Lonchura striata: one gene and its partners. The protein of the gene in region 4 purifies or fractionates together with the protein of the main gene of each other region. This does not show direct contact. Links are inferred from orthologs where the notes say so. Each region holds a gene or a part of one and is shown on either strand. Other genes may lie near its edges.

Region 1 (7,064 bases), on a different chromosome or scaffold from region 4:
CAGGTCTTTGAAGATGGTGCTGCCCATCTGGAAGCTTCACCTGGGAGTGAGGGACTTGTCCCATGCCACTTGCCTGCCAATTCCCACTGTTGTGTGTCTAATGAGAGTTCTCATTTTTGTTGATGTTTTGGCAACAGGAAGCATGTCAGGATCTCAGTTTCTGTTCTTAAATCACTAATATGTGATATAAACACCTCATTGAAAGTCAGGAAAACAAACAAACAACTCGAAAGCCCCAGGAGAACTCCTCTACCCGGGAAAGAATGGAAATCTCTTCCCCCTCGCCCTCCAAAGCTGCTCCCCTGATTTTGCAGGGAGTGGCTCACGAGGGTTAAATGTCTGGGGCTGACAGTACTGCAGACTCTAATGCAAAACAAGAGCTGTGGCTGCAAACTTCACTTCACTGGCAAACTACAACAATTTGGGTAGACCAAACTAAATCTCCTAATCCACGGACAGCTAGAGAAAGGAAATGCATTTTTCCGTGTTGATGATATTGAACAGTTTGTTGGGAAGGACTAGGGAGGAGGGAGAAGAGAAGGAATTTCCATTGATAATGCCAGAGATGTAGTCAATGTCCTGTCATGGAGTGTTTATAGCCCATAAAATTCATTCCTGTGCTGTAGCCGGCATGGAGTTACATCTCCCTGAAGTTGCAGCTAACGGTCAGAAGGAATGGATTTCATTTCAAGAGCGATGTTCCGGATTCCTGGACAAGACACTCAGCAGTGAATGAAGCACTGTGCAGCACAGCCTCAGCAGCCTTGAAGTGAATTTTGCTGTGACCTAACAAAAACCACAGACTTGAAATTGTGATGATTCAGAAATTTTCAGCTCGCAGCAGGGGTTCTTGCAAAATATTTAGGAACTGCAGGAAGCATTTAATGGTCTCCCTATGTCAAGGAGAGGAATCCTGACCTTTTTTCTTCATGGTTCTTGTTCCTTATAAGCAATAATTTTAGAAGGATATAATTAAGCCCAAGTGGCCTTTTTTTCTAAGGTTGCTTATAGAATAACAAGTGACTTGGATTGATCCTGAATGTACTGATTCATCCTCTCTTTGCTGTTGGAATGTGCTGAAGAATGGCTACAGGGACAGACCATGCTCCCAGTCACACGTGTGGCTCCCCACAAGTGTGTGCAGTGAAGGAAATCAAGTGGAGAGGTTTATCTGCAGAGCAATACGATGGAGCAACAAAAGTCAGGAGAACCGTATAAGGGTATGTGCCTTTCCTAGCCAAGAGCCAAAAAGGTAGGATTTCAGTAGGAAAAAAATTTCAAATAGACCAAGAACATGAATCAGAATACCGATGGCTAAAGCACAGGTTTGGGACATTCCTAATCCTTATTTGGATGCAGAACCCATGAACGGGTGGTTTATAAATTCAAACTGATCTCATCTGAAGGAAGACTTCAGGTGAATCTTCCTTTCATTTCCTGTTAGCTTGAGGGACAAACTGACAGAGGGACGGAAAAGGAGATACATCCCTTTCCTGAAATAAATAAGAGACCTCTCACAAAATTTAACAGCATGCAATATCATAATTACTACATGCTTGTATTGTAATTACTGTCAGAGATTCCTTTAAAAAAGAAACCAGGCTGTTCCAAATCACATTGAGAGACTATAATCACATTGTAAGACTATTTCTGCTGGCTTGCAAATGATGGCTATGCAAGAAACTAATTTGAACACCACTGGAAATTATAATTTTGTTTTGTGTGCTTCCAGTAATGTTTTCTCAAACAAGGATCTTACATTTGTCCCTGTATTTGTGTAATTAATTCTGCGGAAAGCACTAGCACAGTCACACGCTTGCTGACACTGTCTTTTCCCATTCAAATTTCAGACAATACAATTTTCATTTTGTGTAAATACTTATACTGCATTTGAATACCTAAGTGCAGTGCAAAATTACATGATCTGGATTTAAAGTAGACAGAAATTAGGTCAATGTCAATAATTTAATCTTCATGGGAACTACACCTGATACATGAACCTTTTATATACCACTTGCAAATAATTGCTAAAAGCAGATATTTATTCCTCATATTTGCATATTCCACTACATCCTGTTCCTTGGGTACTTAGCTCTTACATTTAGCAGATTTCCCTGAGCAAATTTTATATATCATAACCCTGCTGTCCTTGAAGACTTCTCATAACCCTTTCCTTTACCATGCCAGCTGAGCTTAATTAGCAGCTTGTATCAGCAGCAGAATCTGTTCACACATTCATTGGCTCTTTATTGAGTAACTGGAAAAATGACCGCAAATTGCTTCCTCATTGCATATATGGATCAAAACTCCTCTTTCCCACTGACTTCCACTTAGTAATTCTTCCTTTGGAGCAAGCTAGGTAAAGTACATCCAATGCTCAAACAGCAGCATTTTCTGACAATGTGCTTTTCACCTGGCTTTTATCAGAGACTTCCAGACATAAGGTGGAATGTGAGATGGAATTTGAGGATGACACATCATATCTTAGGTCTTGGAAGAGCAGCAACAGTTTCTGAAAGCAGGTTCTCATTTCAAGAAACTGGATATTTGCTGGTTTATGATGCTATGTCCTGCTTCAAAAGCTAATACTCTCCCTTGCTGTGGCCACCTTAGTTCTGTGACTATTATGAGGGATAATGTGTGTCTGGTGACTCAAAAAAAAATAGATTAAAAAAAAAGGCAGTGCAGTGGATCTAAAAATAAAAATTAGGAAAGGTGGGAGTTAGCTCACCACAGCTCACCTCAATTTACAGGTCAGGTTTCAATTTCCAGTAAGTTTTCAGCAGAGTAGGTTGTGTAAATGTATCTGTGGACACTCCTCATACAAGGGAAAAGAAATTTCCTTGAAAATAGATACCTGACATCACAAGTCCGTATTTTCCTGGAACAGAGCACGTGCTGGATCAGTACTCTGCCTGCTGACATAGCCTTCATCCCAGGAGTGATATTACTGCTTGCACGTCAGTAAAGAGAACACAATGGGCTTGCAGGAAGTGGAACCAGAGCGTGCTGCTCGGCATGCTGAAGAAGTCTTATGGAAAGCTGTGGATATTCACCTTAAAGATGTCTGGAAACAATGTACGCTACTTCACTCTCAGGTTTGTCTGAAGAGTTGCTTTTATACATCAGGAACTGCAGCAGACTTTTTAGGTTAACAATCCCTTTGCCAAGACAAAATATGTGTGAGAAGCATGAAACACAACCTTCCTGTATGGTCTGAACTGGGGTGCTGGTCCAGGCACCGTACCAGAATGGGGCATGCACTGTGCTTTGTTCACTGGCAGCCTGAGAGCCACACTTACTGTTCACACTCTCTACTCTCTGCTTTGCAGTATTCCTTCAAACTAGGGAAAAGGAACACCTCCAGAGCAGCAGAGATGCCCATGGGAAGAAGAGAGATGGAAGAGGTTGACAAAATTTGTGTACAGCGAGGTTACATTAGGGCATCACGTTGAAGAACCCTTCTACTTAATAAAGGTTCAACACCTAGTATTTCTTTCACCTTTTTTTTTTTTCTCAGAGTTGATTTTAGACAGCAAGAAATAAAGTCAGACAAAGAAGGTGCTAAATTTATTTTGAATGGAATGCAATGACACCGATTTTCCAAGTGAGGTGTGAAAGCTTTTAACCTTGAGCTCTCAGCACTAGATAAAACATAACTCAGGGTTGCTATTTCCCACCCGTATGTTACACTTCACCTTCTCCCCTGTGCAGAACACTACTCCTCCTCAACGGAGCAGTATCCGCTTACAGGCAGCGCTGCTCCACGGGAAAAAAAAGAAAAGTTTGCCTCTCCCCTCAAAAAAAGCCATTTTGTTCAGCCAGATGTTTTACAAAATGGCACGGCCGCTGTGCCTGAGGGGGGCCGGGCCTCCCACCCCGGCGGGGCTCGGCGGGGCGGTGGCGGCCCCCGCCCGGCCCCCGGCGGCGCCGAGGCCAATGGGCGCTGGGGCGGCGGCGGCCGCCTCCTCCCGCCCAGCCCGCCCTATATAGCGCCCGGCAGCGGCGCCGTGCCGTCCGTCGGGCTGTCCGTGCCGAGCCGTGCCGAGCCCAGCCGTGCCAGGATGCCGGGCCGCACCGTGTGGCGGCTGGCGCTGCTCGCCCTCTGCCTGGGGGCCGCGGCGGCGGGGGGACAGCGCCGCGGAGCCGGCGGCAAGAGCCGGCGGCAGGCGCAGACCCAAACCACCTCGCTGCCGCAGGGCACCGCCGCGCAGGGAAAGCGTGAGTACCGCCCGCGGGCAGGGCAGGGCGCGGGGCTTGGCACGGCGCGCCGGTGGCCCCGGGGCGCTTTGTCTGACCCCCGCGCTCGCCCGCAGCCGCCCCTCGGCTCGGCGGACCCGCACACGTGTGCGCCCCGCGCCCCGTCCCTCCCGGCTGCTGCCCTCGGTAACGCCGAACTTTGCTTTCTTTCCCCCTCTGTAACCCCACTCCTCCTCTTCCCCCAGAGACCTGCTATGACAATGGACGGTACTATCAGATAAACCAGCAGTGGGAGCGCACTTACCTGGGAAACACTCTGGTCTGTACCTGCTACGGTGGGAGCCGAGGGTTCAACTGCGAGAGCAAGCCCGAACGTAAGTTGGTGGCCCCTTTTGTCTGCGTCGAGACCCCAGCGCTTTTGGTGCCGAGTAAGCCAAGCCTTGTACGAGTTAGGGCTGGCAGCCCGGGTTTTCCACTGAAGTTTGGTACTTAGGGTCAGTAATGGGATCTACACTCAATTACACTGAAGATCTGGCTTGGGATTTTAAGAAATGCTTTTCATTAGCGATGGGCCTGCCACCAGAACCCTGAGCCAAACATCGCTCATCTCTCTGGAGGATTGGATCTAAACATTAATTTTGGAGCCAACCTCTTCTTTATAATGAACTGAACTGACTCCTGGACTCGCATGGGGAAGTTCAAATCTGGAGTCACTTTGCAGCTCTGGCTCTGCTCTGATTGCTTCACCCCAACTTTTCATAGCTGTGCAGTGTCGTCAGCTTGTTTAAAAATATTTCAACTTACAACTTTCCACAGCGTCCCGGCCATGCTGTGAGCTTTCTATAATTGAGTGTAAAATGAGATTGTTTAGTCTGTGCAGAAAAAGTTTAGGGAACAGAAAGAAGTTTAAATGCAAGGTCTGCTGGAGGATGTGTCTCTCCAGGATTCGGTGTAGTTCAGTTTATCAGATGCAATCTATCTCTATTGGTCTGAAGCCACTGGTTTGCCATAATTCCTTTATGTTGCTCTGGAGATAGAAGAGATGAAAATCTGGTTCCTGGCTGACGGTGTTCATGTAAGACAGATGTGAGCATCTCAGCCATCTGTTCTGTGAGGTTTGTGTGCTGCCTGGCTCACGACTGGAGTACTCTAAGGAGTCCCCTTACCCCATAAAAGAGGGTTCAATGTACTTTCCCTTCCCCTGCAGAGATTCCCAAGTTTTACAATTTTGAAATCCAACAGGAAGGTTTCCTTATGACACAATGAACTTTATCTGCCCAGCAGTGAAGAAAATTGTTCTGCTTCACATCTTGAGTCTGGTGGCAGCACTGATGTTCTGGATTCACTCACCTATGCATGAGTATGAGCAATACACAAGCAGTGAAATTTGCTGTTGACTTTGGTGGGACTGCTGCAGAATTTGGGATTAATCTACTCCATTTTTGCTAAGTCAGAGCAAGGATGATTAGCATGACAAAGCACACAGTTTCCAGGGGTTGTTTGCTCCCTCCTGTCTTCCCTACTGTTGGCTTCAAACAGCTGGGATTGATGCTTTCAGGCATGCCTGCCATGTGCAACTTGTGGTTCCCTGAGGGAGGGAAGAAGAGGTTATTGAGCATCATGGGGCCCTTGAGGGGGCAAATTTCACCCAACTTCTTCTCTGCGGTTTTGTCCCATGAGGAAAGAGGAGGCTGATAGGCATTTTTCCCCAGGAAAAAAGGAGTATCTGTGTGAGGAGGCAAGGAATGTGTTTCCGTTGATTGTACGTGTTACTGGTGTGGTTGCATGAAGCTGATTATTTAAATTTTTTTTCTCCCTCATAGCTGAAGAGACCTGCTTTGACAAATACACTGGATCCACTTACCGGGTCGGGGAGACCTATGAGCGCCCCAAGGACTCCATGATCTGGGACTGTACTTGCATTGGAGCTGGACGTGGGAGAATCAGCTGCACCATTGCCAGTATGTAACTAAGAGCCTCTTCCTAGAGCTATTGTTCCTTAGTGTCATATTTTCCACAGCAATTTACACACTATTCCCAGTGCCTGTTAGCTACAGTTGCATGGGGTTTAGTCCAAAGCTCACTAAAGCTTTGAAATTAAAAGTCCCTGCCCCATGTACATATATTTGCACAACCAAACTCCTCTTTTGTTTAAGAGGTCAAGTGCTATGTGAGGAAACATAGGCCAAAAATTACTGTTAGTGTCCAGCCATACAGGCTAGTAAGTTGCTATGTACAAGAGTGTGTGGTACATCTTCACAGATGCAAGTATAAAAGTAGTTTTTTGACTGGAGATAGTCTGCTCTGGAGCTGATGGGTCAAAATAACACTGTCAGCATTAGTGGGACTACTCAGAATAAATGATAATAAGTGAATGCCACCTGATAGCCAATCCTTCATCCTCCAAAAACGTCATTGAACTTGTCTCAGGGGGAACTGGGATTTGATATCCAGACAGCAGCTTAACATGTTCTGTAACTCCTTTTTCACTAGCCTGACCCATACTTTCCTCTTGCTCTTCCCTCTCTTCCCTTGGTCCTTTCTCCCCAGCTCCTGTTTCATGTCTCTGTCTGGAAATCCTTTCCTTATTGAGTCACTGAATTGTTCACAATTTCCCCTTAGTTCATAATTGGACTTTCTGTGAGCACAGAGGAAGATTGCTGTGTGTCAGGATTTCTAGACTGAGATTTCAAAGTCTCTGAGGTACCTTTTGAGAAAAGTCTTGCTGTTAAAAGTATCTAGTTTCTTGCTTAAGACACACATGCAGACCCTAGTAGTGTTGCCACAGAGGACTCTGAAACCAGCCATCATTGTAGCATGGGAAAAAAACAATGCATTGAATCTAACAAGTAATGCTGGAGCCC
Region 2 (7,723 bases), about 11 Mb from region 4:
AACTGTGGCCCTGTCTCCTTGGTGATGGCATGCTGCTTGAGGCAATGTGGCATGACCACCAGTGGTGCATTGCACAGGTTTAATTACCAAACACAACCTTTGCATAGGAAGCAAAATCACTAACTATGGCCACAGCAGACAAGATGCACAGGTTGATGGTTCATCTGAGGGTAACAGCCTAATGAAACATGAAGTTGTGCCACCAGCTCAAAGGACAGACAGTAAGGTAGCAACAGGAAGGTAGAAATCCTGGACATAAGGTTTTCACATGAACCCACCACAAAGGTGGTGTTGCCACCCAAAATCTTAGCAAGGTGTGTTTGAAGTGTCATGCACTGCATGCATTCCTTCTGCTTTGCACCAAACAGATCCTTGTAACCCACTACTGAATTTTGTGTTTCTGTAGTTTCAGAGAATGCTGTTCAACTACCCTATCCCTTTCTTGTTCAAGAAATGATGTATAGTGCTGAAAGAGCCCAAGCAGGATTTCCCTTACACTAAATATTTCACAAACACAGATGGAGATGGAGGACCTCTCCTTGCTTTCTGCCTGAAGCAAATAAAGTCTAGACACATGCCCACCACAAAGCAATCATGGCACAAAGCAGATCACCCAGTGCTCTGTGACTCCCACCGCTGCAGCTCTGCCTCTCTGGCTACCCCAGCACAGCATGCTGCCGGCATCAGGTTCCCTTTGTGGCTGTGAAGGCAAGACTGCTGCTCTTACACTGCAGCCAGCTGTGCCAGTTATTCTCTCGAGCTCTGGAAGCCAGATTTGGGAGGCAGCAGACTTTGAATCTCTCCTCTGAGTTGAAAAATACAGAGCAGATATTTGCAGATCATAGAAGAATAAGAGTAGGCGGGTTTGATTGCATTGGACAAGCAAGAAGAGGTTACAGGTCATCAGCTGAGGTACTAGAAAACCATTAGAGCAGGAGAATCAGGATGGGACAGGCAGTACTGGGAAGACAATACTTGCTACTTAGTTTTGCTTTCATGAGCTTTTCATTGAACCTCTACTGAATTTTGGCATTCTGGCAGCCTTGCTCTGACTCAGTGAGCTCCCATCCATCTATGGCTGCACTGTCATCTACACTTGAGCAAATAACACATCTATGAACCCCTCTCCAGCCACAATATGTGCACTTTAGCTTACCAATAAAGAACTGCTATGCAGTGGTTAACCTCTGAAGGAAAAAAAAAAAAAAAAAAAAAAAAAAAAAAAAAAAAAAAAAAAAAAGTTGAAAGAAAAAAAGAAAAAGAATAAGAAAAAAGAGGGGAAAAAAAAGAAGAAAACATTGGGGGGAAAAAAAAAAGAGAAAAAAGGAGAAAATCCTTAGAGGAAAATAAAGACAATTCATTCCCTCTCCACCAAAAAGGCACAGAAGTTGACTCTCTCTTCTCCAAATAATGAGATGAATGTTTTACAAAATATCCCAGTTTCCAAATGATTCAGTTTGTATTAGAAGACAGAAAAAGAATCATACAGTGCTGAAGAAGGATTATGGCACAAAGAACAAGCGATACAGTCATTCTGCAAGTTACTTTGTTTTCAACATGCAGCTCCTGCCAAAGGCTAGCTTTTTGCTCTCACAGTGTATGATCTGTAAACATTTAACCAGCTCTCTGAGAAACATGTGAGACCCTTGCTTGATTATGAATCCAAACCTCTCAGATCTAAAATAAAAAGACAACAAAAAAGAGACACCATCCTCTTTTTGCTGCTGGACAATGAAAAAAGCACCTGTGGGATGAAAGCAAATGAACTATCACACAGGGCATAGGTTCTTCGAGAAAAGCATGCACTGCCGCTTGAATAAACCTCCTACAGGTTACAAACGCACAGGTTGTTAAACAACACTGGTATTAGATTATTAATGCCTATTGATGTATGTGCAAAACTTCCAATTTCTAAGGAGTGCATTCAGTTTTATAAAGCCTAAGACCACATAATTTAATGCTGACATAGAAACAGTGGTGGAATGCCATTATATGAGCTCTTTGCGATTTGTTTACCGTTCGAAGCAAATTCTGCTTTTAAAAATTGAATTAAAAAAAAAAAAAAACCAAAAAAAAAAAACCACCAAAAAAAACCAAAAAAACAAAAAAAAACCCAACAAAAACCCTAACAATAACAACAGAAAAGGCCATACCGTAAGGAAAACTGTGAACGCAGCGAAACCATAAAGTACACATCCCCAACTTGGGGAATCCCGCAGGCTCACCCTGCGCCTCGCGGAAGGCGGTCGGACCGGCCACCACAAACGCGGAGCCACCGTCTCCAAGTTGGAACTTCCAGGCTGCACTGCCGGACACTGCCCCGCGGCGCGCTCCTGCCGCGCCCGCAGAGCGGGAAGGGGCGGGAGGGGCAGCGGCTCGGGCTGCGGCCAAGGGGCGCTGCCGGCAGCATCCCGGGGAGCGCTGCCCGCCCTGCCCTACCCCGTCTCGGCTTCGCGGGTACGCGGGCGCCGGCGCCCTGCGGAGCCCGGCCGGGGCCGGGGCCGGCCGGCAGCCCCGCACCGCTGTCACCTGGCCCCGCCGCGCCCGGCCCGCCCCGGCAGAGCAGCGGCGGCTGCCGCGCTCCCGCGAAGTTCCCGGGCGGGGCACGGCCAGCACCGAGCCGCTGCCCGCCCTCCTCCTTCCCCGGCTCATCTCGCTCCCCGCGTCCCCCCACGGGTGCCGGTCCTTACCGGAGCGGAGCGGGCTGCGCGCCGGCACGCCGCCGGAGGGGCGAGCGCTGCGCCCCGGCAGGCTGGGCTGGGCTGGGCTGGGCTGGCTCCGCGGTCCCGGCCCGGCCCGGCCCGGCTCGGGCGGGGCGGAGCGGGGCGCAGCCCGGCGCACCTCCGCGGCCCCGCGCCGCTCCGCCGCTCCCTCCGCCCCGCGGGCTCAGGCTGCCCCCGGCCCAGCCCCAGCCCCAGCCCCGCGCTGCTGTCCCTACCTGGGGCGGCAGGGGCTGCGCGCCCCGGCGGGCACGGGCGTCCCTCCTCCCGCACGGCACCTGGGCTGCGGGGCGGCTCTCCGCGCCCTTCCCTCAGGCGCCTCCGCCGCGCTGGTGGCGGCTCCCAGCGGTAAATCAGCCGGTCCCCGCGCTCCCTCCGCCCCTCCGGCGCGGTCCTGACCTGCCTGTGACTCACCACATCGCAGGAGCCCGGGTGCGCGGTGGGGGGAAGGAGGGAGGGGGGCCTCCTTCTCTCGCTCCCCCTCCCCTCCTTTCTGCCCCTCGTCCCTCCCGGCCAGGCCCCCAGCCCAGGGGTAGGAGGGATGGATGTCGCTCCCCAGATGGGGAAAGCCAGGAGGGGACCCTTGGTGGACCTTCTGCACCTCGGCGTTTTCAGGCCAAGTGAGTACCAGTGGTGTGCAGGCACAGCCTCCCTCCTCACTCCCAGCCGCAGGGCACCCATCATCAGGTGTCAGTGCCTGACTGATGCTAAAGCCTAACCCTGAGAGGTCAAGATATGGGCACCCCTAGGTTTGTCCTGAGACCCCCCCTAGGCTGTGTAGTAGTGAACAAATTTAGCCCATATTGCACTATCATGGTGTCAGTGCTGACTGTGCTTTAAATGTCTATCCACATGTAATTCAAACAAATGACCTCAGTTTATATAGACTATCAAGTAGCTGTCTTCCCCCATATGTGCTTCCTACAGGGTAGTAAACTGCACAGGTTGGGGTTTTTCCCTCACAAGGTTTGCAAAGCAGATGATGACTTCATCTTTCAGAGGTGCTGAGAAACTGAGTCACTCAGCAATACTGCCTGTGCAATGTACACTTGTGGAGCTGCCGAGAGACTGCAAGTCTCAACACTGGGGCATGCAGCAAAGATCCATCTTTTTTTCTGGTAACGAGTTTCAGCAGCTACTGATTTAAACCAGATTTTAAGTGAAAGGCTCCATATTCCAATAGAAGTTACTGGAGACATCTATTTTCCCTTTGCTTGCTTCCTTTTTTGGCCCCAACTCTGCTGCCCTTAATCATACCATTTAAACCGATGAACGTTTTTCATGAGTGAAGTACAAGGAACTGTAAGAAGCACTGCCCAGTTTCATGATTAACCATGGGAAAAATGTCAGATCTTACATCAAAACATTCTGTAAGGAAAATTAAATATTGTATGTATTTGTTTTAGGCCTTGGATGTCACCAGGATGTGTACAAAGCTGTACAACAGAACAAAATGTTTTAAAAAAGCAGTTAGCCACCTTTCTGCTAGTCTTCTGCTAGTCTTTCACAATTTATCTGTCTCCTCTTTCCTTTGGACTTGCCAGCACTAGTGATAAAGACATCAAACCTAGCTATAAGCCAGTTCTGTGCAAAAACAGATGCATGATTGAGGGCAGCCTGCCCCCCAGCTTCCCCTTCAGAGGAAGTTGTAACTGCAATGAGGTCTCCCTTCAGTCTCTTCTTCAGACAAAGTGACCTCAGCCACTCCTCATATGGCTTCTCCTCAAGGCCCTTCACCATCTTCATTGCCCTCCTTTGGATGCTCTCTAGGAGCTTTATATTTTCCTTATATTGTGGTGCCCAAAACTGCCCCCAGCACTCAAGGTGAGGCTGCCCCAGTGCAGAGCAGAGCAGGATAATCCCCTCCCTTGCCAGTTAGTGATGCCTGATGCCCTCCAGGACATGGTTAGTCTTTTTGGCTGCCAGGGCACTGCTGACTCAAATTCAGTTTGCCATCAACCAGGAATCCTGGCTCCCTTTCCACAGTGATAGTCTCCAACTTCTTGTTCCCCAGTCTATCCATACATCCAGTGTTGTCCCATTCCAGGTGCTGAATTCGGCACTTGTCTCTGTTAAACTTCATGACTGATGTAATCTCATTTCTTTCAAGTGTCTGGAAATCTGTCAATTTACTTCAATAACCTTTATTTCAATTAATATTCAGCAATAGTTAGGAAAAATAAGACAGTGTGGATGCCCCCCACCCCCGCCCAGGGAAAAGCAAGGCTACAATTAGACTGTGCTGCTTGCTGGGCTTCAATTAGTGATCAGTCAGTCACTGCTGACTGTGCTGTGCACTACTACTGTACGGTGCACCAGTACAGCCACACCAGACTTGGAAGAATCTTCCTTAAGGGTTTTGAAATAAAGTGATAAAGAAAAATATTTAAATCCAGAGCTCATTCTAAGGACAGCCCCTCATATTATCTGTTGTTAGCCTGCTCCTGAGTTCACTGTGCACCTGCCTGGGCTGAGCAGCCAGCGCCCAGGCTGTTATCAGTGGGACAGTCTGTGCTATTCTAAAACTAACAAATGGATTGTCACTAACATAAAAAGGAGAAACAGATGTTTCCTTTCCATTTTGACCATGCTGATGCCATGTTATTTTAGGTTAGTTTTATGAGACAGTTACACTGCACTGAGGCTTTGATAATCATCTGATACTCCTTTCATCATGCTTGCACCATGTGTACACCATGAACAACTTCTCAGAGGCTTGAAGTAGCTTTAAGGTGCAGTTATGGGTGAAAAAGAAACTGACTTTCTTAGTCATCATCCTGGTCTCTTTATAGGTTTTCCTAATCTCTCTTCCCTGTCCAAAAGGAGCTGGTCCTCTTCAGTCTGGCATAAGATGGCGTGACACATTTTAAAAAGCTGACGACACTGGAAAAAACAATTCAAAAGTGTGAAGGAGAGTCTATGAGGGTGATCTGCTCAGTAAGAGAACTGGAACACACTGGGGAGTATATTGGCACATCCTTTCCAGCCCTGATGTGTTTTGAGATAGGAAGCTGGTGAGCAAACCCTATCACATTTCCAAGAATACAGAAATAGAGTTAGAAAATGAATTGCAAGGCTATGTTGAACTTAAACTTTCAAGTGTAAACATGAGGAATGAAAACACAGGATGATTTCTGTACATTGGCAGTAGTGCATCTCAACACACTAATGTGTCCACTTCAGTTTTATGGGTTTCATTGTGACTTCTGTTCAGAACCTGAGAAATTATTTATCATAACTACAAGTAGCAAAATGACGTTTATAGAATTATGTATCCAATTTATACCTAATTTCAGTAAGAAAAAATATATATTTAAATACCTCTGCAAATCTGGATCTAACCACATTTTCTAGAAGTGCAGAATCAAACATAAATCTACTGTGCATTGCTGCAGAACCACACTCTACTACATGGCACCACAGCTATATGGTAGCATCAGAGGATTTACTCTTTGTCCTCTGCTGCAGTCATTCACACCTTTGGGAGCAAATATAAAATGCAAATGTCATTGTGAAGCTCCAGAGACTTCTGACTTAGTGGAGCTTACTCATGAGTAAATGATTTCAGAAGGAGCAAGACAGCGGAAAGGAATTAATTTAATGCTTAAGAACACACAAGACAAAGATCTCTAGAGCTGAGCTTCACAGCGGTGGATATCAGGTACCTTCCTGTTGCAGAACCCTGCAACAGGGACTCAGAATAGCTGAGTCTGAGTATCTCTGGAGGTTGATAAACAAAATAAGAGCCTTAGGTGAACCCACCCAGCTCAACTGCCTGACATACCAGTGATCCAAGGGGAAAATTATAGTGTGACAGACTGCTGGGGTAATGTGTAGCTGTATTTCCTGTAGACCCTTATTCACTGGAAGGCAGCCTGGCTGCAAATGCCAGGGGCAGCTCAGGGAAGGGGCTGTGCCTGAGGCACATTTTCCTGTGACTACTTTGTCCCTTCAAGTCACTCTGACACAATCTGTCTTTCACTGTCTTTCCTGGGCTCAAAAAGCACACAGTGGGAAGGGACACAGTGTTGACTGGGGGTTGGGCTTTGGAGAAAAAATGCCCATGGTGTTGTTTGCCTCTCTGGAAACTGAGCTAAATATCACAATTACTACTTAGATCTCTAGATTCCAAAGATTTGATCATCACTGCATTTTATGGCATTTATTGTCTAGCCATTTATTAACTAAACCCATAGCTTCTGATAACTAAATAAGTACTTTCTGTTTGTTTGTAAGAGGGTCAACAATGTCACTGGAAGAAATTTCAGCCTGTGACTGGTGGTTGCAAAAGTCCCTTGCAAAGCCAGGAATAGAAGCCTGCAGTTAGAAGTTCTAATCTCTAACCACTAAGCTACCCTAGACAGTTCTCCATTTGTATAGAAACACAGATCATAACCGAGGGTGCTTCCACATATTGCACTGTGGATTATAGGTGACTTTTGAGCAAAGGGAAGTTTTTCTGTTTAACTTGATAAAATTTTCCTCCTTGTTTGTCTTTCTGCTTGTAAAAAAACACCACAACTGGGCCATTCTAAAATCCAAATGGTGAATGCTTCAAGTATAATTCTTGAAAATGGAGGAAAATGTTTATGGGGCTATTGCATCTGAAGTCTGGATTGCCATGGCTCTGTGTCCTTTTTGTGCCAGTCCCAAAGCCTTGGTGATCACATGGGAAACTGGTACATGAAGTTCGGGAATCCAGCAAAAATTAATCAGTCAAAAGAACATAGATTAGTTTACAGATAGATTAGCTCTTCAAATCCATCTGCTATGCAGTAATGTGAGTGCTAGTGCTGCAAAAGGACAAGGTCAGAAATCCAGGAGGAGGGTGGGCTCATGGCAGCACAACATTACATCAGCTTAACTGGAGGGAGCACCTCAGCCTCCAGAAGGCAGAGGAAGAGATGGTGTGATTCTCACTGCTCCCCACCTGAACCTTGCCTTCTTTCCTAGTGATTTTGAAATGCATTAAACCCCTGAATGAGTACCTCTGAACATACAAA
Region 3 (7,419 bases), on a different chromosome or scaffold from region 4:
TACAAATTAATCTGCAGTCTAGAACACTTGACACCTTAAACAGAAGTACTAGTACTCAAAAAGAGACTGAAAACTCTTCTGTTCATCTATCAGAGAGAGATTTAAAAGTGCCAATGAGGGGCTAGGAAAACAGAGACTTGCTAGCATATCTCATTACTTTTTTCAGTTCTTAAACCGGCCCAGGGGCTGCAACATCTTGAAGAACAATAACATTCTTTAAAGTATGTCTGGATGAGTTATCCCAGATGCTGTGATGACTGCAGCATAAGACTGCTCCCAGCAGCTCTTTTACTACTGAAGAAGCAGATAGGAACTTGTGACACATAAAAAGACAACAGCAGTTTTGTGTGATCAGAGGCTTCCTAATTGTTCATGAATCCTTCATTAATTAGTTATGCCAGTTTCAAGGCTACTTTAGTGAAAAGGAGCGACAAAGTATTTTAACATATTTGTATCTCTAAGTAATTCACACCCATTTTTTACAGTGCCCCCACATTTGGAAAGCCACATCTATTGCCTGTTATCACCTATACTTTTTCATGACTTATAATTAGAAAGTTACCACCTCAAAGATGTTTTTACCAGAACAAAATGCGAGTTCAACTATTTAAGAGCAAGATAGCAACACTTATTTCTCATTGTGCCTGTTCAGCAGTGCAATATATTGCCACACATTTTTCTAAGGAAATTCCCTATTCTATGAGATCAGAACCCAAACTTGAATGAGTTAGATGAGAGTTAATTAAGTTCAGCTTTGTAATTCCAAGTTCCCCTGCATATTTCTCTGACCTCAGATACTATACCACTTCATTCACATCCCATGGACTACAGCTGCCTTTGGCTTCTTCATTGACCTCAATGACCTGTATTACAATACAGCACTTCTTTTCAGCTTCTATTTAACTTCAGAAATACTACAGGCAAACCTTAGTGATGCAAAGATGTCATCTAGCAGTAATGGAAACCTAGTTTGCAAAAATATCATGTGGTATAACTGTTGTTTTAAAAAGTATGTTGTGCAACCTGCAGCCTTTAATTCTGGGAATAGAGGCCATGTTAAGCTAAGCCTTTGGAACCACATAAACTTTTTCATATACCTGTTGCCTCATTTCAATTAGAATCCCTTACACTATTGAAGAAAATCCCATCATATTATTTCTTTAGAGATTTTGTTTCTCCATTGGCTAAATGAGCAAACTGAGAGCCACTGCAGATGTTTGTAGGTTTCAAAGAACCTGAAACTTTCAACCCTTCCTTTATTTCCCCCACACAGTAAAGGACTATTTTTATTGACTTTTAGCATATGTTACTTCACCATTTTAGTTGACCTCTTAGACTTTTTGCAAGCCTCCTCATAATAAACAGGCAGTCAGAAAAAAAAAAATCTCTTTGTTATGTTTAACTTTTAAACGGCTATAGTACCGGAATGAAATTAATCAACAAAACTCCGAAAAACTACTTGGCCTGGTATAAATTTAATTTCCATTCTTTCTAGCAACAACTGCTTGTCTATTTCTTATAGGACTACATAAAAAACACCACTGAAGTACCCTAGGTTTTGTAGACCAGTTACAAAATGAAACTCTTATATTGATTTGTAGCCAAAAAAAAAAAAAAAAAGAAAGGCTAGAACCTGTCAGTTCTAAGTATTATGCACAGACATGTAGAAAAATAATTGGTTTAGTATTTTTTTGGTTACAGAACGCTGAGCTCCACCCTGACAGCCACCAGTTCATGGTGTGCTACTGCTTTCAAATATTTTGATAGCCTTTTTCCCGCGCTGCTTCTTACTGGGCGATGTGCTCATAACGGATGGGATACTCTTGGTCGGAGGGTGACTGAGTACAAGTGGAGGAGGATTCTCTCATAGCACACAAATAGCGTGAACAGCACTGTATGCAAGTGGGACAGGAAGAGAAACCAAAGTAATTCACACGTGTTCATGGCAACCCAGTGCAAAGCCTTCCCCTTTTTAACAAGTATCAAACGCTTGAAAGTTGAGTAAGTGCAGCCAGTTACATCTCCTAAGTATAGAGACTGTGGAGATAGAGAGAAGTGAAGTTAAATGAATAACTGTTCACCTGAAACTCCAATAAATCTGCAAGCAGGGAGAACCTATCAGCAAGACAACTGTGGTTCAAAGTTACTTCAGGGTGACTTCTACAAAGAGAATGCTTTGCAGGAGAAAACAGGACTTAGGCACATACTTCCACCCTCCCATCCCTGCGCTTATTACAATCACCCGCTGCCCTGAAAGCTACACCAGCTCTTCTCCGCAGAGCAGGCTCAGACCGAAACTTTCATGGGGCTTTTGACTCGGAGGCTGAAAGGTGCGAAACGGCTGCAGGAACGGTATCTGTCACACCTAACTTCTCCAAATTAAGTTTTGGTGCCTGTTATCTCTCTTGATGCCGCCGCTGCAGTCCTTGGGCGATAGCGCTGATCTGGCCCTTGGGCGAGAAGCAGAGCGCTCCGCAGTTTAAGCCGGAAGGGCCCAGCACGCCCCGCACGGCAGCGGAGCGGAGCCGCGGTGCGCGCACGGCGGAGGGCACGGACCGTCCGGCCCCGGCCGCCGCCCACGTCCCGCCGCCGACTCACCCAGCTGGAGCTGCTCGCACCCTCCGCTGGAGTTCCCCCCGATCCGGCACCGGAATACGTCCCCGGGGCTGAGCACCGACTCGTTGGCGGGCCAGCTGGCCCGGGGCGCGCCCGCCACCAGCCTGCGGGGCAGAGACGGCAGCGTGAGGAGCCGTGGCCAGGACCAGGCGCGACGGGCCCCCGCGGGGGCGGCCGGGCCGGGGACTCACCATCGCTCCTCGCCGTGGCGGTGCAGGAGAACAGAGTACCCGAAGAAGGTCCCGTTGCTCCCGCGGAAGAGCAGCGCGTGCTGCGTGTCCAGGTTGTAGGGCCGCGCCGTCGGCAGGCACTGCCACAGCAGGAGCAGCGGGGCGGCCCAGCCCGCGGCGCCCCGCGCCCTCCCGCAGCTCCGCATGGCTCCGCCGGCCGGCAGCGCTCCGACGCCGGCTTCCCCCCTCTCCGCTCGGCGAGAGGGCAGCGCCGCGCCCCGCCCCGCCCTGCCCCGCCCTGGGGCGCCCTCTCCGCAGCGCGGGCTGGGGGTGTCCCCGCGGACGGGGCAGTCGCACGGCCCCGCCGCCGCCTCCTCCCGCGCGGTCGCAGCCCCTCTCCCTGCCCAGGCGGCGGGGGTCGGGTTTCTCTCCGCCCCGTCCGCGCCCACGGGGACGCTGCGGAAGGGACACGGCCCCCGCGTCCCCGGGCACTGCCCCCGTGGGACGCGGCTATCCAGGCACCGGCGGAGCAGAGAGGGCCGCGTCCCCATCTCTTCGCCTCGACACCCTTGCCCGGCCCAGCCCGCAAAGGGGGAAGGAGTTACTGGAAACTTATCCTAAAATCTCCCGCCGAGCAGCGGGCGGGCGGCTCAAGAGCAGAACCGTGTTCTGAGAAAGGAAGCGTGGAGAAGATTTGAGTTTTCTGTTTAGATTTAAGAAGAAACCCAGTACCCCTGTGTTGAAAGCCTTCCACGCAGTCGCTGTGCTGAGGGAGCCTTGCCTGCTGTCCCCCGGTGTGGGTATTTGGTTCCTGAAACCAGTGCCGCACAAGCAGGGCACTGGCCTACCCAAGACTTGTTGCACAAGACTGCTGATGGCGCCTTCCTTTTCACGTGTCATGTAGTCAAAACAATCCCCCATCGCTTCTTGTACATTTTAGAGTAACTTTTGCACATTCCTATTCAGTTCTTCAGTTGCTGACAAAGTTAGCGGCCATGCCTCCAGACAGCAAAGGAACAAAGGAAACTGAGCATTGTGCAAGAGATCTGGTATTTGTAAGGGCTCCCTTGATCTTAGTGAGGAGCATTTCTGTGCGTGTTTTCAGCAATCAGTTGCTGACTCTTGATTTAGCTCATACTGAGTTGTGCTCATCCTGAAATCAAGGCTTTTATTTCTATCTGCAAACCTTGCCTTACTGAAATCCTTTGAATACCAGGTCTTCCCCGTTGCTAAAATAATCCCTGTATATGGATAAGCTATGTATAACAGTATTTTGAATCTGAGAAACAAGAACAGAAGAACTTCTAAAAAAAAATTTATTTACAAAGATTACTTACTGAATCTGGACTAAAATCCAGTATGATTGCAACTATTGAATATTATACACATTAGAAATAACAGTGAGATTTCCCTAATGTAAATTTAGAACATGGCATTTTAAACTCTTGGGAAAATACCCCCCTTGGAAAGTTTCACGTTTCTGCAAAATGCTGAGCAACTACCAGAGTGGGGCACTGAGGCAATGCAGAGTGAAACATGCAGATGTGTAGTTTCTGGAATGAGATCAGCACAGTGGAAGATCTGACAGCCAGTCATCAGTGTATCTTTTTTTGATTCCTCATCTCTAGAGCCATCAGAGGGCTTCTTCGGATGAGACTGATGTGGAGCGGTGGCTGTTTCGTGCAAAGGAGTCAAACAGCTCCGCAGCTGCTATTCATCTTCCTTCCAATTACTTACATCAAAGGAGTTAAAACAATCAACAGCAGCTGTGAATCTGCATTTCTACTACTCAAGAAGTTTTCACCCTCATTTTCAAAGCAGCAAAACAAGCATGAATCAAAACTGAAATGCTAAATTGTGGTTTAGTTGGTGAAAAATTGTAACATGGTTGTACCACCGTGATGTTGGAACCATGTTGAGATAGTGGCTGTGTTCCTAGCTGACAGGAAAAGGTAGATTGTAAAGTGGTGGGATTCAATTATTGATGCATACATAACTGTTTATCAGCTATGATATGAAATTGAGAGCTCTATATCACCTGTCAGGAGGAAATGTGTGTGTTGTCTCCTAGACTCTGCTAGAGTGCATGTGATAGTGATCCATCAGGCATCCATGAAATCAGTGGAATACAAATTACTGGAGAGTCAGAAATCCATATTTTGAGAAATTTTTGCAGGTTTCAGTACAATTCAGGTACTAGAAAGAGATCAGAATAAATGCAACTGACAATATGGAGTAATGGAGAGAGAATTTGAGTTTTATTAGAGATTTAGAGAATTTGCAGAAAAGGTGGAACCAACACTGGAAGCCAAGTACCTGTATTTACAAATCAAATATCAGTTATGTATCAGTTTATATCTAAGTTATCCTGAAATAATAAAAAAAGTTCTCCCCAAAACATCTTGCTGCTATTCATTCTCAACAGCACATCTCTCACAGTCCTTTGTGGGTTAATAACACTAGAAGAAAAATATCCCAGTGACTTGCCTCTTGTGCTTGAATTTGGTTCACCATCTAAGGCAATTTCAGAGGAGCCAGTGGGATGATTTGTTAATTATATTAGTCTGCAGTTTGGCAACATTTTTTACAGCAGATGTGTGCATTTCATCTGACTGTCCTCATCTCTTGCTGCTTGTTCTTGAATCATACAGTGACCCTGTTATGCTGATACTGTTCAGTGTCTGAGCAGTGAAACACATCAGAGAAGTGATCTGGGTTAAAAATAACTCAGACAAAAGCCCCCAAACCTACATCACATTTGTAGCTGGCCAGTTGTATTGGTTGTATTTATAGGATGGTTTAACCTGATGCTGCAGCTTTAGGAACTTTTTCAGGTAACAGCCTTAGCTTTCTACAAGTAGCAAGTCTACGAAGTTAAAACCTACACATCTGACTTAAAACGAAGCAATTTCTTTCCTTTCTTTTCACCAGTGCTAGTGAGAAGAAGGGTAAGAAAATTACTGAATAAAGAACATACTGATTCTGACATTCATTCATACTGAATGTTTGTCACCTTTCTTCTTTGGAATATATACTTTTTGATTCCCTAAGCTGGAAGGCATTTGTATTAAATTAAGTCCAGTGTATGGGCTGGTGTTGGGTAACTGATCACATAAAAGCTTTTGCTGTGTTATAAATACATGAAAGCACATGTTGATAAAAATCTTCATGGATATGGCTGCTTTCAGCTGTGGCTGTCCCTGGTCTCCTGTGTGCCACATAAGCCTACTGCTGCTTATGGAAGAGTGTCTCCACATCTACTCTGAATTCGAAATAAAAACAAGCAGTGGTTGGGATCCTGTTCCTAATTAGAAAGACATGAAAGTTTAATTTTTAAATTGTCTAAGTACTTAAATAATGCTATTTCAAATTTGAAGTTTCTAAACCATTCTGATTTACTGAAACATGGAAAATTTAGGGTTTTGGTCAGACCATAACTACATCTTCTTTTTATGTAAGCTTCTCCTCCTCCACCCCCCAACAATGGCAGTTGGCCACAGAAGCTACTATTCATATGCTGTCATCTGAGAAATTATAGAAGGCAAATACACTCTTACCTCTAAGGCTGTCTTCAAGAAACTTCATCTTCCCTCTGCTGTAAGATACATGTGAGTTCTCATGAAGAGGTTGCATTGTCCACTGACAAATACAATTAAGCACAGATGTCTGATGCACCAAAAAGAAGCAAATGTTAGCAAGGGTCTTAATTGTATCATTTTGTTTATATTCTCTTAAGAGATCTGAATTTCATTTAGAATCAGTTAAAGAGAAACAATCTTTTAATTTAATCAGCTTATCATATATTTACAATCATATAATGTCCTTTTAGGAAATATTTTTAAAAAGTTTTTTCTTCCCTTGAAAAATTGTGCTGCTGAAGTAAAGACTGATCTGCCAAAAGAGCTTTCCAGAATTTAAACATAAAATAGTGTCATACAGACAATGACTATGACAACCTGACTAGAAGAAGCAAACAAAAGATAATTATTGTTAATAACAGCTTAACTAATAACTGCATTTTGATTTACAGATAGGTAGGACTGGAAATTAATCATTATATGTATATGTGTGATTGATGCATTGCATATCCTTTTTTATTTTTTAAAATTTTGTCAAAGATTCTTGAGTTGCAAGATCAGACACAACAAAATATCTGTTTCTGAGAGGAATTGGGCAGTAACCTTTTTTCCCATCCCAAAGGAATTGCTGAACTTTTGAAACTTTCCCATCTGAAATTCAAACAAAGAGTGTTTTCATGCACCATTTCTGTGTCTTTCTTTGTAAAAGTCTGGTTCAGCAGAGTTGTAGCATTTTTTTCATTATTATAACTTTTAAAAACAAATATTTTAGTTAGATCTAATTTCTTTGAGATAAAAAGGAAATATGTATGTTCAGAGAATTTCAACATAAAAAATAATAATTTATTTAAATCAACACTTTTCCATAATTAATTTTCCATAATGAATCAACATTTCAACACATTCATCTCTACACTGAAAACATTCTGACCACTTATTGATATTGTGTTTCTATTTTTTTTTTTCATATTTCTGTACTTCCATAGATTCCACATGTCTGCTGATGAGATTGGATGCAATGGGAATGGAACAGAATCTGAAAAAACTTTGTGTAA
Region 4 (6,979 bases):
TTGCATACGATGGTGTTCACATCGCCATGGGCATCAAAACGGGGATTGAAGTGAAGTCCAAGGAGGGTAGCATCCTTGCCCAGATTCAACACAAAGCTGCAGAGAAAAAAAAAAAGCACAGACATCAATACAGCTAAAAAAAAAAAAAAAAGTAAATACTATAGTAACATGTTTCTCATTACCATGAGCATCCCTTGGTCTGTTTCTTCAAGCCCAGCTGAGGGTAACCTAAGAGAAACCTTTAGCTAAACTACACAGCTTCCTTAAAAAGATGGTACTGTGGCAGTAAGGGGCTCTTTTCTGGGGTGATAGGCTCCAGAGTGCCATCCCTGGAAGAGATACCAGTTCCTCAAACTTTTAACAAGAGAGGGGTTCAGTACACAGTGCCCTGAACAGTGTTATCATACATCTAAACCAATTCCCAAGAGTCAGTTGCTTTCCATAGATTTCCATTCAGTCCTGAACAGTTAGCTAGTGCTGCATCCTGCCTGACAGCCACTGCCTTCTCTCCATCCTGCAGGCTGCTGAAATAAATACCATGTCATTAGCTATCCCAAAGTATCTGCAGTGGCAGTGGGAGGAAGTTTCCTAGCCTAGTGTCCACCTTGCCTGCAGGCCTCTCACCCAGATGAGAAGAGGCATATTTGGCAAGAAAAACCCTGGGAGGCTTCACTCAGACAGTATCAAACTTCAAAGGCACTGGGAAGAGCTGGGACATGTTTCCTGGAACACCACTAGTTCTGGTACAGCAGCTACAGGCTCCACCTTACCTGCAAAGTGCCATCCCCAGCCACAGACCTGCACAAGGGCTGGGGGCTGCTGCAGAGGCTTTGCTGGGAAACCCAGCCACCTGGCCCCTGCCCATTTAGGGGTACACTTCCACTTCAGCCCACCTGCCTGCTCACCACCTTTCTTCCTTCTTTCCTAACCACCATTTGAGGGGAAAATCTACTGGGGCATTATAAATATCCCTACTCCTGGCCATCTTCGTGCAGGGGAGAGGATGTGGTGGGGCAGATGTCTCAAACCAAATCTCAGTATAGACACAGCTTCCATTTCCTTCACCCTGCACTAGAGAGGATGTGGTCACTGCCAGCGTGTGCAGTTGGAACTTCACATCTGCTTTAGCTTAGCCCCTTGGCAGCACAGTGCCTGCAATGTGCATTAGGTGATGACTCACTGGAAGCACTGCTGGTGTTAACCCCTTCTCCTCTTCCACCCAAGAGACAGAGTCCTTTTGCCACCACCTTTTGCAGACCCTCAGTGCAGTGCCCTGGCTGTGCCTGGGCAGCACAGCACAACTCACCTCTTGGCATTTGGTGCAATTTTCCCCTTGACAGTGAGGCGCTGGCCAGGCTTGAGACCCAAGTTGGTGCATACTGGTCCCTGGGGAACATGGAAGCAGAGACATTAGCTCAGTACCTGCTGGCTCACTTGGTCTGACTTGGCTGCTTTCCCTGCTGCCTTTCAAGACAGGCTTTGCTTTGGACCATGGAGAAACAGGGAAGCTCCCTTGCCCTAGGGCATTGTAGCAAGGACATCCCAGAGAAGTTCTCCCAATCACATGGTACATTTGATTGGAGTTCGATTTCCTAATCTTCCTCCTGCTGCTCTCATCAACGTATCTGTATTTCACAGCAGTGAAGGGTAAGTACATTCCAATCACACCCACCCCATCCCAAACACACCCATGTGCCTTGTGGGTCTTGTGTCATCCCACACATATCTGTCTGGGATGGATGGCAGGGATGGAGACTAGCTCATGTTTGAACTTCAAGCCTTGACTAGGTCCAAGGACTCAGACACCTTGCTTTCCATCTCCCAATGGCTTGAGCTTTTGTTTAATGTAGGCTCAGTATGTGCAAGAACATTCTTCTGCTTCACAGAGATACTTTCCCCCCACCTTCTCTCTAGGAGGACCAAAGCATCCTGGAAAGCCCATATGTACTCATTTTTCATCACAGCAGAGCCAAGACCTCAAGAATACTGAAAATCTTTTCTTATTCCATCTTAAAAAAATAAGCTTGCTCTTGGGATCATCTCTGCTCTCAGCCTAATGAAAGGCAAATCAAAGAAATGCAATCACTCTTCTGACATATGCATCTCCCTAGCAGTCACAGAATAGTTAGGACTGGAAGGGACCTTGGAGATCAAGTCCAACCCCCCTACTAAAGTAGGTTCATGTAGAGCAGGTTGCAGTGCCATGTCCAGGTGGCTTTTGAATACCTCCTGAGCAGCAAACCCCACAATCTCTCTGGGCAGTCTGTTCCAGTGCGCTGTTACCCTCACAATGAGGAAGTTTTTCCTTGTATTCAACTATAACTCCCTTCATTTCAGTTTGTGCCTCATGCCCCTTCTCCTGTTGCTGGGCAACTCTGTAAAGAGTCTGGCCCCATGCTCTTGATACCTGCTCTTAAGATAACCTCTCTAACTTCTTAAGATATTTGAACATAGTCCTTGACATTCACATTCCTTACTTCTGTAAGGCACATTCCTTCCAAAAAAGAGAAGATTAACAATTCAATGACTCATGAAAACCTCAGCAGAAAGCAAGCAGCAAGGCTGCCCAGAGAAGATGCTCAGACAGCAATAAATGCTACTGCAGCAGCTTCCCCAGGGTAGAGCTGCAGTAAAACAGGTTACCCCAGTTTAGCACTCAACCCAGCGAGGATCCCCACACACACTGCCCCAAAGGGATCCTACAGGAAAAAAGAACCACTGCTGCCAGAACACAAAACAGCAGCCAGCCCTCTGTAGTGGATGCAGCAGGGATGGGTCCTAACCAGTAGCAGGCACCCAACTCTAACAGACCCTCTGACACTGGGGCTGATGTGCAGGCTAGCACAAGCACCCTCACACCCAGCCAACACAGCCCCACCTCCAGCTAAGCTGCCCCATCCCTTTCTCTACTCACGCAAGACATGGTGCTGCTCTGCAGGGTAGCGCTCCTCTCCACCGAAGTGCAAGAGTCCCAGGCGAGTAGCTCCTAGAGCCCCACCCTTGCCTTTAAATAGATGGAGAGCTGAGTGGTCCCGGCCCTTCTCCACCCCATGCACCAATGAGAAGGGCAGCAGGAGTTGGTTTTGGGAGGAGGGAGGGTCTATTAGACAGAGCTGCCTCCTCCCACACTCGCCCAGCCTCCTCTCCAGGATGCTGAACACAACCCTTCCAAGCAGGCTGTGGGCCACTCCAGGAGGAGATCCAGCTTTATGTGGCCGTGAATCCAATGGAAAGTAGTTTTACAATGAATGCTTTATTATCCAAGGCTTTTATCCCACATGGAAAATGGTCATACGGATCAAGACTTGGCGGGAAGGGTCTGTAATGAGGGCGGGGCTCTTCAGCTCCAGTTAAATCAGGAGTAGAAGAAATGTCACTGATCACACGTATTGCCTAAGAAACTCTTTGTAGTCCAGGTGAAACCCCAGTAACAGAGGACTGGAGCTGCATCCAGGGTCACCTGGCTGCACTATGAATCCTTTCTGTCCCCAGAGACTGCCCAGCTGCTAACACACACTTGTGTAGGTATGGAAACCAAAGGAGAGAAAACAGTCCTTTTTCTACAGAACCCATAGGCACCTTCAAAACTGTACACTTCATCTTGGCTGCAGGGCAGAGTAAGCCAGCAGGAAGCTGCCTTGGAAAGCTGGAAAGAAATTATCTGGGAAAGCACCATGCCTGGCTCTTGCTTCTACCCTGAATACAGCTAGGGGCCTGAGGAAGAAGGGGAAGGGGGCAAAATGCTTCTATCACAATAAGCCATGGGATCTATATGTCTTTTATCTGCCTCTGTGTTCTCTTTGTGGCAAGTATGATTCACTGGGTGAAAGGATTCCTATGGAAAAAGTTACCCAATTACTACATGGCTCAACTTTAATTACACTGAAAGAGAAGGGAAAAATTCAGGCAGTGAGCCAAGCCTGGGGCTTAGAGCTCTCCTTGTCTTGCATATTTGTCTCTAAATCACAAGACGCTCTGTGATTTCCTTAAGAGGCCCAGAACTGAAACTCTCTGAAACAATTTTTTCTTCCATGACTCTGAGGCCCATCAGTTCCCTCTCTGCTGAGAATGTGAGAGTCTCCAGCCCTGTTACCCCCTCCAGTATGACCCCTGAGGATGGCACTACTGAGTATTTCCAGCTGGTGCCATCAATGCCAGCAGAGGTAGCAGGGAGACCCTCTTGCCTGCTTGTTGGAGAGGGCAGAAACAGGCTCCAGACTTTGGCCAGGTTGCTGATCACTCCGTGACACAAGAGGGCAAAATAAAGGCCAAAGTGGTCTTCTCTGCTCTGACATGCCTGCTCCCCCTTTCTCCTTCTGGTCACTTACCTTGGGGTTCAGTCTTGAGCCTGATCAAGGGATCATGTGGTGGAGGACAAGAAGTACTCCATATGAGGAGGAGAAAAAGTAAATAGAATCTGCATCCTTCTACTTGGGATGTGTGTGTTATTAAATCAATTCCTTTCAAATCCAAAGTTTTGTGAGACTAAACCCCAGGCATCTCTCCAAGTACTTGAGCTGCTGCTGGAGCCATGGTCTGGGGGGCGGGACTGGTGGAGGCTGTTGGATGGGGAAGGGAAATGTGTAAATATTTGCTCTCTTGGAGATGGAGGTAGAGGGGGCCTTTTAAAAGCTATGGGGTAAGTTCTGTGTTTTCTGCAGCATTTCTGGCAGCTGGGAACTGTGACCAAGCCTTAGCAGCTTCCAGGTCCTTGAGTTATGTCTGTCTAGGGACTTTCCTCCAAATGCTGCTGTGGAGATTAGAGACCAGCTAATGGCTAAGAGACAATGAAGAAGGGGCTGCCATTCAAAAGCAGGTGCTTAAAGAGCTATTCACATCAAGGAAATTCAGGTTTCAGGCTTGAGTCTAGCTCGGGCAGCCTGTATTTGTCTGATAGAAGTCCAGATGTCTCTACTGACTTTCATGAAACCTTGAATTAAATGGCATTAGCAGAACAGGCTAATACCACAGGCAAGGGGGCCATGGGGTGTCCCATCGCCTGCAGGCCATGGGCCACCACCATCCAAACAATGTCACGTCTGCATTCCTGTTGGAGACATGATGATGAGATGACAAGCTCTAAAGCTCCAGCATCAGCATCCTTACAAGGGATGGCTAAAGTGAGGGGAGGAAAGGTCCCTGCTCACCCTAGTGTCACACCAGGCAGGGATGGTGTCCCTAAGTGTACTGACACCTACTCCACCACACTGGAGACACAGAGGTGCTTGCATGTGATTTTCAGGAGTAATGTGGTGTAGGAAGAGTCACTGTAGATTGAGAAGAGTAGAGCCAGACTCTTTAGAGCTGGCAATCTTCACCACCTGTCACCTCCTTTTTTATCAGTGTGCAGTGGGCCAGCCAGGGGATGTGCCAGCAGTTTAGCAGCCCATGTAATCTGCAAAGGATGCAGATGAGGAAGATGAGGTCAGATCACAACAGACTTTGGTGTCGTGGGCTGTGTGGGAACTCTACACTGGGACAGGGCTCTTCTTCTCCACCATTTCTGCCTCTCCTCACCAGAAAAGCTCTCCTACATTACATTTTAAATCCTAGCTTTGCATTAGAGGGAGAGTCACTGATCTGCATTGTAACTTGGGGAGCAAAGGTCTTCTTTGCTCAGTCCAAAGGGAGTGAGTGATTATGATGCTGTCGCTTCAAACATTGCTCTTGTCCATGCCAAACACTTGGCCAGAGGGAGTCATGAGTTTGGAGAGAGGAGTAATGACTGTGGGATATGACTTCAGCAGTGCCTCACCTCTGGTTATGAAGGTGAGGCAGGTGATGTTTGCATCTGCACTTGCTTTCTGCAAAGTGGGGTTGTGTCCTGGACAGGACAGGGCCCGGAAAAGGGAGTGTAGAAGAGCCAGCTGCCATGACAGGGACTGACCAAATTCACAGACAACACAGATATCCAAGCCCAGGCATCACAGCAAAGACCCCATCAGGAAGGTACTATGCTAGGTTAGGCACCTCACTCAGGTCCTGATAATGGGCATCTCCAGTGTGGCCTGTGCTTCAGTCACCTGCCTCCTGGGAGCAGTTTGCTAATCTCTTGCTAGCCTTTCCTTGCACAATCTGCTCACTCTCCTTAGAAAGTGCAAATTGCCTTTGTGAGTAATCTCAGACAGTCCTTGAGCTTTTAATGCCTTTGGGGCCTGAACCCATCCCCCAGTGCTGGCTGTGACCCAGCATTCCCATCCAAGGGACCAGACATCATTATCTGTCCCTAGGGCTGCACAGGGTGCTCATTGTGACTCTTCTCTCAGGGCCTCAGCCTTCTTCCCGCACTCTCCTTGGCACTCAAAGAGCCCAGGGTGATCTCTCTATACTGAGATGGCACGTTTTCTTGAGATCACAGCCTCCCTCATGGACATCCTCACACCTCCCAACCTCCAAGCTGTAATACACTTTAGGTTGCAGAGGGAAACATGATTGCTAAAAGAGAGTTTCACCATTGCAAGTAGCTTTGATTTAGAGCGTGCCTTCTGGTCTAGCTGATAGGCACTGGCCTCAGCATACCCAGACTGCTCCTGCGGTCTGAGGGCTGGAGTCCAGCTAGTGCAAGCTGTGGGGTTGAGTTGGAACACCGGGCTGAGCCAAGGGGTGGCTCTAAACAAGGTGGTTTGGCAGCTGCCAAAGGAGAAGCCCAGTCAGGCAAGTGTCTGAAGCAAAAGAGGGAAGATCTGCCCCAGATCTTCTTGTGAGGGATGCAGCAATAGATGGGGCATCCTGAGTGATGACAGGGGAGGAATGGGAAAGGGCCTGGCTGAGAAGCCTGGGACTAAAGCCTGCTTGCACACTGTGCTCTTCATCTGGCAAAAGCCTGTTTTGGCTGCAGTTACTCTTGCAGTGATTTGCAACACCTTTCCACAGGGAGAGAGCCTTTGTACCTGTTCAGCCACTTCGTGTCATGTGGCCTGTGGTATTTTAAACTAAGAACTAGGTGTGCTAAACACAGATTTATTATGTTGCGGACACA

The links.
Region 1: the proteins of LGALS1 (region 4) and FN1 purify together in Homo sapiens (affinity purification with mass spectrometry; 3 studies listed by BioGRID and IntAct, with this or other methods). This does not show direct contact. The link is inferred for Lonchura striata from reciprocal best matches to the Homo sapiens genes LGALS1 and FN1.
Region 2: the proteins of LGALS1 (region 4) and MET purify together in Homo sapiens (affinity purification with mass spectrometry; 3 studies listed by BioGRID and IntAct, with this or other methods). This does not show direct contact. The link is inferred for Lonchura striata from reciprocal best matches to the Homo sapiens genes LGALS1 and MET.
Region 3: the proteins of LGALS1 (region 4) and ITGA4 purify together in Homo sapiens (affinity purification with mass spectrometry; 3 studies listed by BioGRID and IntAct, with this or other methods). This does not show direct contact. The link is inferred for Lonchura striata from reciprocal best matches to the Homo sapiens genes LGALS1 and ITGA4.

The regions. Positions count from the first base shown.
Region 1 is NC_134610.1:35,768,554-35,775,617, reverse strand, and holds the start of FN1 (fibronectin), read left to right. Parts: upstream 1-4,035; 5' UTR 4,036-4,064; coding exon 4,065-4,221; intron 4,222-4,445; coding exon 4,446-4,574; intron 4,575-6,023; coding exon 6,024-6,161; intron 6,162-7,064. UniProt on the Homo sapiens protein: Fibronectins bind cell surfaces and various compounds including collagen, fibrin, heparin, DNA, and actin. Fibronectins are involved in cell adhesion, cell motility, opsonization, wound healing, and maintenance of cell shape.
Region 2 is NC_134607.1:34,614,212-34,621,934, forward strand, and holds the start of MET (hepatocyte growth factor receptor), read right to left. Parts: upstream 3,041-7,723; 5' UTR 2,939-3,040; intron 2,761-2,938; exon of another isoform or gene 2,691-2,760; intron 2,356-2,690; exon of another isoform or gene 2,154-2,355; intron 1-2,153. UniProt on the Homo sapiens protein: Receptor tyrosine kinase that transduces signals from the extracellular matrix into the cytoplasm by binding to hepatocyte growth factor/HGF ligand. Regulates many physiological processes including proliferation, scattering, morphogenesis and survival.
Region 3 is NC_134610.1:24,034,377-24,041,795, reverse strand, and holds the start of ITGA4 (integrin alpha-4), read right to left. Parts: upstream 3,008-7,419; 5' UTR 2,993-3,007; coding exon 2,808-2,992; intron 2,721-2,807; coding exon 2,599-2,720; intron 1-2,598. UniProt on the Homo sapiens protein: Integrins alpha-4/beta-1 (VLA-4) and alpha-4/beta-7 are receptors for fibronectin. They recognize one or more domains within the alternatively spliced CS-1 and CS-5 regions of fibronectin. They are also receptors for VCAM1.
Region 4 is NC_134607.1:23,457,750-23,464,728, reverse strand, and holds the start of LGALS1 (galectin-1), read right to left. Parts: upstream 3,024-6,979; 5' UTR 2,924-3,023; coding exon 2,915-2,923; intron 1,387-2,914; coding exon 1,307-1,386; intron 97-1,306; coding exon 1-96. UniProt on the Homo sapiens protein: Lectin that binds beta-galactoside and a wide array of complex carbohydrates. Plays a role in regulating apoptosis, cell proliferation and cell differentiation. Inhibits CD45 protein phosphatase activity and therefore the dephosphorylation of Lyn kinase.